Styela clava: one gene and its partner. The protein of the gene in region 1 interacts with the protein of each later gene in a pairwise test. Links are inferred from orthologs where the notes say so. Each region holds a gene or a part of one and is shown on either strand. Other genes may lie near its edges.

Region 1 (7,367 bases):
ATAAGTTTATTGGACACGTTTAGTGGCCATAACGATCGTTTCAAAATTTTGTTGTTATTGGACACGTAGTGGACATAACGATCGTTTCAATATTATGTTGTTGTTGTTGTTCTTTGACACGTTTTTGAAAAGTCGCTTTTCTCTTCGAATACTGGACCAATTGCTTTGAAATTTTCAGTGGTTAAAGATAAAATTTCTCTCCAGAAGGCTATTACTTTTTTTTTCGCTATGACGTCATCAAAATTATGTGACTCTACGTGTCCATATATTTGAGCATAGCTCTCTTGTTGTTATTGTTATTTGTCTCCGTCTCCATTTTTAAAAAATCGCTTTTCTCTTCGAATACTGGACCAATTGCTTTGATATTTTCAGTGGTTAAAGATAAAATTTTTCTCCAGAAGGTTATTACTTTTTTTTCGCTATGACATCATCAAAATTATTGCCACTGGGTGGCGCTACGTGTCCATATATTTGAGCATATCTCTATTGTTAATAATATTATTACCAGCTTATTCGTTGATATTATGCACAGTCATAGTCAATTTTATTTTTTCCACCAGCAAAAAAATAACATACAAAATCAAAAAATAAACAAAATTTAACACACATTTTTACTGGGGAAGGGAAGACGCGGGGAACCAAATTTGGCTATCGAGACACGACACGCTAAGCTAGAATCCGAGATGCAAAAACTCGAAAATACTTCGACAAGGTTATTTTGCCTTTGTGACGTCACAATAGCCTGGCCTATTATTCTCGGATAAACTACTCTACAAAAAGAAATCAAATTAAAATATATTCGAATTGCGTAAGTCATTTTTAGCAGTTTTGACAAAAACGTAAAAAACTTCCTAATGATATTGTTATGCCATTGAGAGTCAAGAATTTGCCATGGTTCAATTTTTTGATCGTAGCCGGATTTAAGTTAATTTGTATGACGCAGTTAGGTGACGTCATAATGGCGCACTGTGACTTATGCAGAATTGTGTCTATGACTTGGGGACATACGCAATTTTGCAACTTTACTATATGTACCAGTCCTGAAAACTAAACATTCCAAAAACGAATGTAATTCTCTGTATCTACAATGTCTAATCCCCAAAATGGCTAATACGTTTCAATTACATTATTTTTTTATGTTTAAAAATATATATTTAATCAATATAACACGTTCTGCACACCCACCAAATAAGACTAAGATTAAATATAAAGAATAAAACAGCAATGCACTCAATATAAAAGCCAACCAAGGTAAATTGGACTCGGACAGTGAATATCACAAATGCACGTCTTCCTATACTGCAGTATAGATTCAAATAAATACGCGCTAAGCTAGAATCCGAGATGCAAAAACTCGAAAATACTTCGACGAGGTTATTTTGCCTTTGTGACGTCACAATAGTCCGGCGGTACCAATGATAATTCATTATGACGAAACAATTGCACAAATGTGCATATCATGCTAAATCTCCATTTTTATAGGTTTCGGAATTCTTAAATCTGAGTTAACAATCAGGTGCGCAGCATTACATAAATACCTATTTTATAAAAAACTCAAATATATATGTGTCTAAATTTGCCTCTCACAAAGGCAACATCAAGGAAGTGTGGAAGACAATTAGTGAACTAATTGGTAAATAAAATCAATCGACTACATCATTAAGAAAATATATCATGCGCAAATAAATTTGAAGAACACTTTTCCCAAGTGGCACAAAGCTTACTTAACAATTTGTCACAACCAGCTAGCTGTGACAAAAATCTCCCTTCATATCTTGGAAAGCAAGAATTTTCATCCATGTTTTAAGACCAACTACATCAGTGGTGTGCAACCTTTTTCCAGGGGCGGGCTAGATATCGATAACTGGGTAAATGCGGCCCGCACTTTCATTTAACATAGGCTCTCTATTATGGTTCGTCACTGCTGTCACATGGCCAACACTTGAAAATAGAGGAGTGTTTTGACTAAAATAAAGGCACAAAACGTCATTTCAAATGAGGAGTTACTTGACGCGAGCTCATCTCATCGGCTAGGTCCTGCCTGCATGCACAAGACAATTCATTCTCTTTTTACCGATCACAGGACGTCATTCCCATATACATGTAGACACAAACGTCAGTCCTGACATAGGGATTAGAAAACGGACTATTCCCAGTTGGAATAGTTTGAAAATAAATCAAAATTGTTCCGCTAATAAATATAAATATCTGCCAATGGTTTGATAGTGTATGCTAAAATTGTTCTGTGGGCCGCACGGAATGTGTCAGCGGGCCGCAGTTTGGACCACCCTGGGCCGTAAAAAATAAATTGGACTCGAATATAAGCTTTGCCACGCAAAGGGAACCAGATTGAAATAAATTAAAAACTCATTTCGCTAGCTGGACACCATTCAAAATTGGCACTTTTCCGCGGGCCGCACCATTTTCCCTTGCGGGCCGCATTTGGCCCGCGGGCCGCACTTTGCACACCCCTGCACTACATCTTTAAAAATAAAAAAAATATCATACGCCAAATGAATTCCAGGTCAAGTTTTGGAATCGATAGTATTCCATTTGAAATATGTTATAACAAATCATTGATATCTTGACATTTATATTCAACCTCACTATTTCGTGCACCGGTTCTCAAACAGTGGGCCATGGCTCACTGCTAGGCCGCAGAAACATTTTCAGGTGGACCACAATCCTATTGAAAATTGCAAGAGTTATCGATAAATTTACTTTCATTTGTGTCACTATAATTAAATTTTGATTGCAATAAATGATGCTTCTGTTGTTTGCTACTGAGTGGTAATTTATATTATCATTAAAGTGAAATTGTTTATATTGCGGGAAGAATATTTTTTTTTCTTGTAGTTTTACCCTATCATGGAAAAGTTAATGGACCACGGAATTTCTGTGCAACAAAAATGCCCACGACAGAAAAAAGGTTGAAAACCACTGATCTAGTGGAATATTCATAAAAAGTTTCAAGACAGCCAAAATTTTTCCCCTTTTTAAAAAGAGTGACGTTTCAGATCCTGGCAACTTTTTCATTCGTTTTCAGAAATTCTTGAAAAAATAATGCATAGCAGAATGTCAAATTATTCCGAAAGCCATAGTATATTCTACTCGCATCAGTTCGGTTTCCACAAGCAACACTCCAATGCTATGGCTGCTAATGACTTGTACATAAACCAACCAAGGCGTTTGAAGGAAAGCAACATGCTATTGTTATATTTCTTGATATTTTAAAAGCTGACACCAATGATCATTCTATCCTTTTAAATAAGCTTCATTATGGAATTAGAGGGGTTCGTTTCAATTGGATAAGGAGCTACCTGCAAATTCTACAAGTAAGCTTTGCCCGTGAATTTTACTTTCTCGTGTTTATGTACATGTCGTTTATTAATTTTCAGTATAATTGCTGTGATGTGTTTTCCACTTGTGTCAGTGTGGGTAAATGGGCACAAACGCTTGCAGCGTTCGCTATAAACCTTTCTCGAGGTTTTGCCCATTTTCCCGATCTTTCCGTCGCCCTTGAATGTGTTTTTATTTTGTGTTCTGTGTTGTCAAGTTGTAGACAAAAGATCAAAATAAAATTGTATTGCTGTATTGTAAGAAAGAAAATAAGTTGTGCAATGTGACAATTCATTCTCTACCAATATTTGTGTCACGAGGCAAGTAGTTTCTTAAGGATCTTTACCAGGGCCTATTATTCTTTCTAGTCTACCTAAACGACATGATTACGTATCTGGACTCTTTTGAGTCAACCATGTTTGCTGATGCCACTGATTTGATTTTGTTTGGGAAAAACTTGGAACAACAAATGACAGTTGCAAACCGAGAATTGCTCAACATTCATAGCTGGATGTTGGTTAATAAATTATCTCTTGATGTCAACAAAACTACATTCCGTACTATTCCATCCAAGCAAACATATAAATGTGAGTTGCTCCCCGGCAATAAATATTTCTAAACGAATAAATCCTATCCAAGTATAGAGGGTCAACATTCTCTTATCATTCTCTGTGATCCAAGCACATGTAGTGTTTATGTTCACCTTGGTCCGAAAACCTAGCGGATCAATGACCCTCTTCGACCCGGCATAGCAACACATAGCAACGTGTGCGGCTTTGGTTTGGCTCTACTACTTGCTGCGCTTCTGTACTGTAGGAGTGCTCATTATTGTCGTAAAACTACAAGCTTTTTGGTATGATTTGAATACATTTAACTGAACAATAACATGTCCAAAAATAATCGAGTTAGAATTTTCGTAAGAACCAGACCAACTCCCAATTTTGCTCATGGAATGATTGATTTTCTTCAAGATGGAAAGGTTTGTGGAATTACAGAATTATAATAATATCAAATGCTTATTCGAAGTTTTGTAAAACGATGTATCTCATCTCCTTTCATGTTTCGTCAGGCAGGCAGACCAGCAGATTACATGCATCTTCTACTCACTGATAAACAGCATTTAAAAACGAAAATGCCATTATTTTCAAACTCTGAACGAATAAACGTATGTTATGCAGCTTTGCAATGTTATGCACTAAATCCTTTTTCAGATAATTAACAATTTCATTGTTATTGTGGAAGTTATTTTATGCAGCTTATTGCGGTTCAAGTGTGGAGAAAAATTCTAAAATTTATCACAAATGATAAAACAAAAAATTCTCCTCTTAGATCATGTGGATCATGACTGAATTCAATCTGAATTAAAATTATTACTGAAATTTTGGTCACTTTAGAGGGCTGTTATATTTTTATGCAAGAATTTAGTATATGCGTTTTGCTCCAATTGACTAATATTTATTTGTTTTTATTTAGACCATCAAGGTTCACACACAGAGAGATGAAAAAGAAAAAATTGTGGATAATCAGTTGTTAGATTGGTCATTTAAAGTTGATGGAATTTTACACAATGCCAACCAAGATCAGGTATTTCTATTAATCTCCATGATTATAGCATTATAATACCCTGTACTGTATAATACTGTATACTGTTTCCCATCAAATTGTTTAAAATTTCACGGACGCTAATAAATAATGAAAGAACAATGTTTCCATCTCTCCTGCGCTGTTTCGCGCTCTTTCCCTCTCTTCTGCGCTGTTTGGCGCTCTTCGCACTCTATTCAGTAAGTAGTAAAACCTTTTATCTCTAATAATTATTTTTCTGAGAAAACATTATACAGCTTTTTTTCATGTCATGCACTTGCCATCTGCGTCTTCATATTGATAATAGCTCTTATCAGTAATTTGGTAATCGGTCTAAAATTCTTAGATAAATTTTTATCTGGCTGAACTCCTTTTTATGTAAGGCCACAGACAAAAAGTCAATGATATTCAAGGAGCTCCTAAGGTTTAAAAACAATTGTAATACTTTTATTTTTAAAGTAGCTGATGGCGTATATTATCGGGTGTCGCTGCTCGATAACCATTCCTGGTTTCCCCGCGACTTCCCTTCCTCAGTAAAAATGTGTTTTCAGTTTTGTATTTTGTTAATTTTGTATGTTATTTTTTACTGAATGGGAAAAAATAAACTTGACTATGACTATAGCTGGTTATGGCCTATCTAAGTTTTTCACCTTGAGTCAGGTGATAGACATCCATGCATAAAAATAAGATGAAAGGAAAATTCAGAAATGAAAAAATGTTAAAAAATAATAAATTTGTACTGTACATGGGAAGCTACTGTTGAGGATAATAGATGCTATCAGATTAACAAATAAAATAATGTACCAAACTCAATGTTTACATACACAATCCAACAGGTCTATGATGAAGTTGCTTCCAAGATGGTTACAAGATCTTTGAATGGATATAATGGTACTTTGATGGCGTATGGACAAACTGGTGCAGGAAAAACTTTTACTATTACTGGTGCCACTGAAAACTTCAAACAAAGAGGAATCATACCACGAGCTATATCTCAGGTTAGAGTGAACTGATGATCTTATTTGGTTTGGAAAAATGCTTCTTAACTCAGTAAATACTTGATTGATGATTGGTTATGAAATAAACCAAATATCAAATGGGAAATTTCAAAATGTTAAATATTTCAAGATGAATCAACTCTTGTTTATCATTTATTTCCTGTCAAGGTTTTCAAAGAAATAGAAGAGCAAGTTGACAATGTTGTCACTGTAAGAATATCTTATCTTGAAATATATAATGAAAACATGTTTGATCTTCTATCAACATTACCTGCCTCTGGATCATCTGGTTAGTTTCGCATTGAATTTTATAATTAGGCTTATTTACGAACAAATTTATGAAACAAAGTTGCATATATCACCTTTTTATATAAAATTCATTGTTGTAGCAGTATTATATTGCTCTATTTTAGGTAAATTATGTTATATCTATGTAAAAGCATAAATGACTTTAAACTAACAGTGGCATATGTATTGAATATGCATACTGGGATAGGATAGACTGAGTTATAGACTATGATGTGGAAAAATTGAATTTGAAAGCAGTTGTACAAATTTAAGAATACTAAGCTACTAAAATATAGAATTTTATCATGCAAAACATTAGCCCCCCTCTTGGTGTAGTTTAGTATATGAACCAGTAAACCAAATTTCTGTTTTTGCAAAAGCTTCAGTTATCAGGTAACAATTTTTTTTTTCAGCATATTATGACATCCAAAGTATGACAATAGTTGAAGGAGACAATGGATCGGTCAGTGTTAAAGGTCTTTCGTTACATGCAGGTAGTGTGGTAAATAGTGTGTTATAGGTTAGAACAGTGGTTTTTTTGTCGCGGCACACTATCAAGCTTTTTAAATATTCGCGGCACACCTATCACGAAACATGAACATTTCCTACTCTTGTAGCCATTTAGCTATAAAATAGCTTTAGCTATAGATAAAAAAAACATAGAAGATCAGATAAGGGAAATACTATTCTTGTTAATACAACATACCTTGTATTCAAAATGGATGGTTAACAGTTACCGATATTATAACTGTTTTCTTACAATAATGTACACGAGACCCACCTTCGGAGCACCTCACATTGTTGTAAAAGATGCACGGGTAATACGCTTTGGGTTTTCTCGCCCTTGCCCGTTCCACGTTACGCCTTATTATTATCACAGGTATTCTCACTTTTGCACAACCTAATTCATTGCAAACAAACCGTATTTTATTACAACAATTAATTATTATCGCTAAAAACACTGAATAGGTTTAAAGTTGTTATAAACAATTTTCACCGATGGACGAATCTTTTCACGTTATGAATTTCGTGCAATGCCCGAACATAATTTGATGGCAAAGATCGTAGCATTTACTATGTCTAAACACTTATTCGACTTTTCAGACCGCAGAAACTATTCGAAAAAATAACCATTTCTGTGTTCGAGATATGAAATAATCG
Region 2 (8,132 bases), on another chromosome or scaffold:
CCAAGATTTCTTCCCCACAATCACCAAAAAAAGCAAAGTGATCCATAGGTATACCAATTTAAGATGCCATAAGGCTAGGTTATAGAATCTGAGATAGCCCATCACAAAAAGTATCTGGGAATCAAGTGATGATTGCAAAAAGATGTTACTTCTGAACTACTTGCATGCGTTCTTACCTCCTTTGCTAATGATTCTCTGGCAAATGGGATTAGACATGCCATGTCGACACCATAAACTTCATCCATATCATTCCAAAAATTAACTTTTTCCACCATCACCTCATCATCGCATACAGGTGCAACAAAGATAGTGGCATGATCTGGCAACATTAAACCTCCGGGCTTCAACCATTTATCTCTGGCCCATATGACGGATGACAACATTGATTCATAAAGCAAACAGTATCCCATCCATTCACTGACGATGATATCAACTTTTTCTGGCAAATTTACTTCTTCCATAACACCATGAATAACTTGGACACGGTCTTGCAATCCATTGTGCTCAACTACCTGTTTAAGGATAGGAATATTCTTTTATAACCCTGGGAAGAGGAAAGCTGATATGACGACCTAATGGCAAACCATAGCCTCTCGTTCGGTTACCAGTCCATTTCGGCTATGGGATTAGTTAGCCAGTTATTTGTTTTCAGATGCATGGGCTTGATTGTGGAGGAAGCCACAACCACCAACCGGTTATGTGAACCCCCCTTGTGAGTGAGCAGTGAGAAAACCAACAATCCTCTCGCGAACCCACGCAAGGCAAGTGTATTCCTAATACTTAGCACGATGCGCCACACCGCATACTAGCTGTTTTTATTGGAATAGTTTATTTTGAAATACGAAAGATGAGAAACCAAATTCATATACGAACATAATAGGCTACTAAATTTTGCTGTCATAGCTATAATGCAAGATGCACAAGTAAATCTTGCTGGAATTTATGGCCATTCGAATTATATCAAAATGCGACATTAAGATACCAGCATAGACAAAGATATTAACGATGATTTTTAGATGGTAGACCTAATAAATCTAAGAACAATATACCCCAGATTTAGCTGGTCTTACAGCTGAACAGCTCAAAGATATAAGCTATAGAATGTGTGATTGAAAAATCTGGTTGGAATTTATACTATATATATACGATATACTATTATAACACTAACATCAAACAACTGACTTTCAAATACTTACAGAATGAGTAAAAATAAGATTTGTAAATAATATGAATCAAAAAATGTTTAACATTTTCACACCTTTTCTGCCTGCTTGGCAATTTTGCTGGCTTCAACTGCATAAACTTTTGCTGCACCAACTTGAGCACAGAAACAACTTAGAATACCAGTGCCAGCACCAACATCTAGTACTACCTGAAAAATGAAATAGATAAAGTTATTTTATTATTACAAAAGGAATTCTATTTTCTCTAGAAATACAGAGAGTTTTTATGAACATGGTGTGAGCATAATAACGGTTCTACAAAATAGAAAACTTTATTGCCATACAAATGTCTCCTTTCACTGCTGAAAATCAGAATCGTTCCAACCAGGGGTTGGAGGTTTTTGTGCAAGGGAGGAGGAGAGAATCTATTTTGCATAGGGACGCATTAAGAAAAGCATTTAATTCACAACTTACATTGTTGAAAATCGCATTAATATTATTTCAATAATTCACATTTGAGATATTTTAAATACAACTGAAATTCAAAAATGAATCTAAATTTTGTATGTAGTGGTAAGAAATATCCTAATTTTCCCCAAAAGCAAAGGGCGCGAAAATTGCTCCGGGTCATAGTTTGCGCATCCCTGATTTAAACTTATAACCTAAAATGAATAAATGCCAATGCTGCAATCTTCCATGAGGCAGGTTAGTATAAATGTTCATACAAAGTTGGGTTGTGCATAAATAAATTTGATCCCGAAGTTCACATATGCAACTCGAGTGAATATAATGCAATGTCTGGCACTCAATATGGTTCTAGACAAAAAAGGCAAACTTAAAAACATTCACACATAGAAAAACTATCAAATAATGTGCCGGTCAAAAATTGAAATGGGTGAAACATATAACATGAAATGTAGTGCTGGGATCCCATTGTGCGTAAGAAGAGCACACATAAAACATCTCACATAAAAAACATGTACATGTCACATCATGTCCAAACACAATTAACTCTAGTGAAAATTTTGCTGCCGTTTCATTTTCAATACAAGATTGCAAATGAGGCCTCAAAGAAGTTTCTGCAACTTGTTGCTCTGCAGCGGCGTGTAGCCGATTTCTTTGCTTCGTTTTAATTAAAGCTAGTGATGAAAATGTTTTTTTCGCATAATGCAGTAACTGGTTGAAAATACACACAACAGTTTGATTGCTCGATTGCTTAGCAATGGGTATTTATTATCAAGAGATATCCAAAATTGTGACAGTGATTCTTTTTTAAGTCTGGACTGTAAAGTCAAATCACAATTTTAATCAAGCGTTTTCTTTTTTATCGGGTTCATCAAAGCCGGGGCCGAATAAGCTAAAAATGTGATTACTCTGCACCAAGATGACGCAAAAGACGTCGCAAGTTGTCACGAAAGACTTCGCAATACTGCTAGTGCAATATGACGGCAGAAGAGAAATTGCGTAATAAACCAACGCAACCTCGTCTTCGGTGAAGCGATTGAGTCGGCATAAAAACAACAAAAGAACGAGACTTCTCGCGAAATGGCGATTGGGAACCACTGTCATATACCATACTTCTGTACTTGAATTGGGAACTGACATGTCACAACAGTACCAGGTTGCAGCAACGTACAAAGACACAACATGCAAACTTCTGGATTTGTGCAATTTTTAAACTTGAACAATCAAAAAATTAGTCTCACACAGTTCAGTTGGGCAATGGCTAAATCATTAAATACCTGTAAATCCAACCCTTTCTGGTGATTTATATTTAATGGCATGGCAGAATCGTGTCACATGTCCTGACTGCCTGATGCAGTGCAGCAGTGATGTGTTACCGGTAAGCAGTAAATATTACAGAATTACCTTTCCACTTATTGCATCTCTACATGAAAATATTGCTTTTTTGTATGCATTAGTTCGTTCACCATCACCAAGCATTTCCTCGTGGACAGAAATATCGCAATACGATTCAAAATATGATTTTTCTTTCATAGAGTGAAGTCTTGGGCGTTTCGCTTTGTCAGCCATGTTATTAATCGATAATCGTCGAATCAAAGATTTAATAAGCATTACACATCACTGCAAAAACTGAAAAAAATAAGTGTAAGTTGGTGTTACTCGGATATCAAAGAAATACTACTTCTATCGAACACCATGAACTACAGACAATACAAACAAGAGCCTATGAAATTAGTATTACTTTAGATAAGATAATGCAGCACGCCAGACATCGCTGCAATCTCGCCAGCAAGTAGCTCACGCTGTGTTTAGCATTTGGCCTACTCCGGAGGTTCTCGACATTTTCACTTGGCGGTTCGCAACAACGGTAATTGATAATTGAATGAGCACTAGGCCTACTGTATTAATGTCGTATTCCTCGCAATAATACATCCGAGGATTTACCGCTACTTCGGTAAAAGGACTGATTTTTATTGATACGATTACCCACAATTGCCACAATATTAAATTAAAGTCGCGTAATAATTTTATGATACTGCGTTTGGTCAGTATATATTTACGGTTTGGTGCTCATTGTGCAGCAAATTGCAGGTTTATGATGTCACAATGAGTTCGGTAACAGTTGAGTAGGGATGGCCCCCGATTGTTGTTTGGATGGCCAGGTTGGCCACGTGTATGGTGGCCCATCGTTGTCACGCGTAAAATTGAAAATAAAAATAAAAAATAAAAAACCGAAAATAAAAAAATTGTTGTAAAAAAACATAAAAATAATTAAAAAAAAAAATAAAAAAATAAAATGAAAATTAAAAAAAAATAAATAAATAAAAACGAAAAAAAAAAACAAAAAAATAAATTAAAAAAAAAAAAAAATTAAAAAAAAAAAAATTGAATAAAAAGAAAATAAAAAGGTTGACAACGATGGTCCGCCTCGTGGCCCATCGTTGTCACGCGTTTTTATTTTTAGAAAATTTGCTTCTGCTTGGGACCAACGTTGTCAGGCATAATCCTACGCGCACAAATGTGTTCCGCGGGTTTCAAACTCACTACTGATTTTCTTGAGCAATTTTCAATATGAAAATGTTCTATAAATTCTCCATGCTACAAGTTCAACAAGAACTAATATATTTATAATAATGATAAGAGAATATAGAATTGAATACGAAAATTCGGAAAATTTGTTTTTAACGTGTATAAGGTAATTTAATTGGCGAATGCTGCTTAACTACTCAGTTGTCTGGACACTCGCGATGCCGGTACCGTCTTACCAAATACCGGTAGTCGGTTATAGTCGCTTTGCGTCTGACCGTACCGGTAGCCATACAATCACTCATGAAAGAATGGGAGATACGGATAGTCTCGTAGAATATAGAATACTGAAACACTCTCTGCGCCTGCCCCATACCGTACAGCCGTAACGTACCGATCCAGACAAATGATAAATCGCCCGTGCTCAACCATTTATTTCAATCCATACCTCGATCCTAGTAGAATATAGTGAGTCGAGGTATGGATTGAAATAAATGGTTGAGCACGGGCGATTTATCATTTGTCTGGATCGGTACGTTACGGCTGTACGGTATGGGGCAGGCGCAGAGAGTGTTTCAGTAGACTACATTCTATCGAGACTATCCGTATCTCCCATTCTTTCACGAGTGATTGCATGGGTACCGGTACGGTCAGACGGTACCGTACCGGCATCGCACGAGTGTCTGAGCAGTTAAGCAGCATTTTCCAATTAAATATCTTCTACACGTAAAAACAAATTTTCGTATCCAATTCTATATTCTCGTATCATTATTATAAATATATTGCTTGTGGTTGAAGTTGTAGCATGGAGAATTTATAGAACATTTTCATGTTGAATTTATTGGATATTGCTCATGAAAATCAGTAGTGAGTTAGAAACCCAGGAAACACATTTGTGCGTGTAGGATTAAGCCTGACAACGTTGGTCCCAAGCAGCACCAAATTTTCCAAAAATAAAAACGCGTGACAACGATGGGCCACGAGGCGGACCATCGTTGTCAACCTTTTTATTTTCTTTTTATCCAATTTTTTTATTTTTTTTTTTTTTCAATTTTTTTTTTAATTTCAATTTTTTTTTTTATTTCTTTTTTTTCAATTATTTTCATGTTTTTTCATAACTATTTTTTTATTTTCGCTTTTTCATTTTATTTTTTCATTTTTTGTTAAATTTTACACGTGACAACGATGGGCCACCATACACGTGCAATAAAAAAACATGGTAGATTTAGCGTTTAAACAGCGGTAAATGTGACATGTTTTAAATCTTCAGGAACTACCTTGTTTCCCCGGAAATAAGATAAATATTTCAATTTTGTTCCAAAAAATAACACTAGGGCTTATGGACCTTTCCCCGAGCATCGACTTCCTTGTTTACTTCGTGACATTGGCCAATCAGCAAATTGCAAAAAGTGACGTAACAATGCTCCCTTTTCGCATCCGGTCAGAGTGAGACACTTTTCTCACTCAGACAGATTTTCAAGCGTGGTCGTAAACATTACCTCGTTTTCGCATTTTTGAACTCTATTCGTTAGTTTTCAGTTGTGTTTTGGAAACTTAAATGTAAATCAGATAATTAAATGGTCACCCTGTCTTCCTAGGAGTTTTATTTTAATTGCAGTAATAAAAATCAGTGTAGAAATAGCTGTGATAGACTAGGCTAAAATTCTTTATCGGTAATTTTAAAAAACAGATTGTTGTATGCGATGAATCATAATGATGGTTTGAAACACATATCCCATTTCACAGGCGCCAACTCGCAAAAGCACTCTTAACATAGCCCCGAAAATTTTGCATTGGTTAAGTCAGCGATTCCCAAACTCTCCGCCCAACACTAGTGTTCCGCGAGCGTCTTCCGAGTGTTCCGTGGAGAAGAAATCAAAAATATCGCCATTGCGATCTAGAAATCGTGTAGTTGTCGCCAAACTGACCGTTCAATATCGCGTTATCGTCGGCCTAAAGCAGACTAACTGAGGTAGAGTAGTGGCATTTTCGTGACCGTCGTCGTAGCTTTTTGACTGTTAAGTTTACATAGACTTACCATACGTCCCGCCGTTTTAGGCGGGACAGTCCCACTTTTTAACGTTTTGTCCGGGCGTCCCGACCGGTCAGCCAAAAGTCCCGCTTTGGCGTTCACCCAGTCAGCATGATACATGAACATCACCAATTAGCATGTTCTCGATACTGTTGTTGCCGTGTGGTGTACCGGTGGTAGCATACTTACTGAAGGTGGATGCGTGGTTTTGTTTGTTTCGTTGTTTTCCGCTAACATTATTAGCGGTTAATTGCTACAATAGTTACGTGTAAGCCCCATACGTCAAAAGAGCGCTTAACGTAAAGTCCTTTCTATTTATTGAATTGAAACCGATTTTTAGACAGACACCACATGCACTCTCGATGACAATATAGTTACTGAAGACAGCCGGGATGGTTTTAAATGTGTGCCTAATGTAAAATCGGTAAATTTAAAGTTGAAAAAAAAAACACATCTATGGCCTTTGGAGGCGTCCCGCTTTGAGGTCACAAAAAATATGGTAACCCCAAGTTTACAGCAATCATTTTGGTTTTGTTATAAGCAAACAAGTAGGTCTAAAGAAAAAAGGCAAAAGGCCAACTCTTCTTCCTCCGTCGCTGCCTGGTTTTACTATGAAATGCTGAAAAATTACTCATGTTCGCTAAATTCAATTCAGCAGATAAATAAACTGCAGCTCGCGAAATTGCAGCAAGTAGGCTACTTTTATATTTCCCTAGAGGTAACATTGGAGGCAAACACTACGTAATGAAAAGTAAACGACATAGACAGGTAAAAAATTGTGAATTGGTGAATTTATTGATTCATATACACAGCTCTTAAATTAGGAAACAATAAAACATTTATAATAAATGCAATATGTAAAATATTCAATCATATTTCAGGTATGTTTAACCGTAGTAGTATATATTTACGGTTTAACACAATTCTGTTAGTTTTCGCGGCGCATTTGGCAACTCGTCACGGCGAACCCATTGGGAACCGCTACATTACACCGTTTTTCTTTATCAATTTTAGCTTTCCATTTTTTGGTGTTCCGTGAGGCGAGATAAAAAGTCTAAGTGTTCCGTGGCCGAAAAAGTTTGGGAAACGCTGGGTTAAGTATAGGAAGAGTTTTTCGGGGGTCAAAGGTCCATTTTCGGGTGATATCTTATATTTTTATTTATCAAAAACGAAATTAAAAGGTAGAGAATTACGAGATTTTCAAATATACAAACTATGAAAACCGATATCCATTTACTTACAAATAACACGTTCTTAGTCAAAACAATTTTAAAATATAGATTATCAATCATTTAAAACGTGTAGGAGCAATGACATTAAACAGACTAGGTCTTATTTTAAGCGGAGGGCTTATATTAAAATCATTTTTAAAAATTAGGCTAGGTCCTATTTTCAGGAAAGGTCTTATTTTCGGGGAAACACGGTATATAAAATGGGTGCCGAAAGCGCAAAACACTTCGCCATATTTTTTCAAATTTTAGTGTTTGAATATTCTCTGACACAACTTTATGTGGCGACTTTATCTTAGCTATCTTGGTATCCCAGGCTAAAAGATTCTCTTACTCAAAGTTGTATCAACTATCCGATTCAATAGTACTGGATTCAACGATACCTCACAAATATGTTTACGGTTCATTGAAAAAAAAAAAAACAGGCCCGACTCAATTAGTTTTATCATCGAGAACTGCAGTCACTCTACCTTGTTCGTTTGCTTTCGGACGAAAAAGGTAAGGCTTTTTTCGAAAAAACATCCGCTCATATAAAAGATTCGCCGAAAAGACAAACGCCATATCATTGATGCTTTTCAGTTGTTGGGTTACTATGGATACAAATGGTACGAAACGTTCAGTTGAGTCTCGCTTCCGATCAAAGAAAAATGTCAAAATTACTGTCGTGGTGAAGGATAAACAATGTTCAATCTATACAAAAAGGATGTACAGTATGAT

Evidence for each region.
Region 2: the proteins of kinesin-like protein KIF9 (region 1) and protein arginine N-methyltransferase 6-like interact in a two-hybrid assay, tested with the Homo sapiens proteins (2 studies listed by BioGRID and IntAct). The link is inferred for Styela clava from reciprocal best matches to the Homo sapiens genes KIF9 and PRMT6.

The regions. Positions count from the first base shown.
Region 1 is NC_135250.1:15,179,393-15,186,759, forward strand, and holds the start of kinesin-like protein KIF9, read left to right. Parts: upstream 1-4,092; 5' UTR 4,093-4,225; coding exon 4,226-4,318; intron 4,319-4,812; coding exon 4,813-4,923; intron 4,924-5,756; coding exon 5,757-5,918; intron 5,919-6,086; coding exon 6,087-6,207; intron 6,208-6,619; coding exon 6,620-6,700; intron 6,701-6,898; exon of another isoform or gene 6,899-6,909; intron 6,910-7,367. UniProt on the Homo sapiens protein: Essential for normal male fertility and for progressive motility of spermatozoa.
Region 2 is NC_135256.1:13,905,872-13,914,003, forward strand, and holds the start of protein arginine N-methyltransferase 6-like, read right to left. Parts: upstream 3,263-8,132; 5' UTR 3,240-3,262; coding exon 3,033-3,239; intron 1,373-3,032; coding exon 1,259-1,372; intron 513-1,258; coding exon 177-512; intron 1-176. UniProt on the Homo sapiens protein: Arginine methyltransferase that can catalyze the formation of both omega-N monomethylarginine (MMA) and asymmetrical dimethylarginine (aDMA), with a strong preference for the formation of aDMA.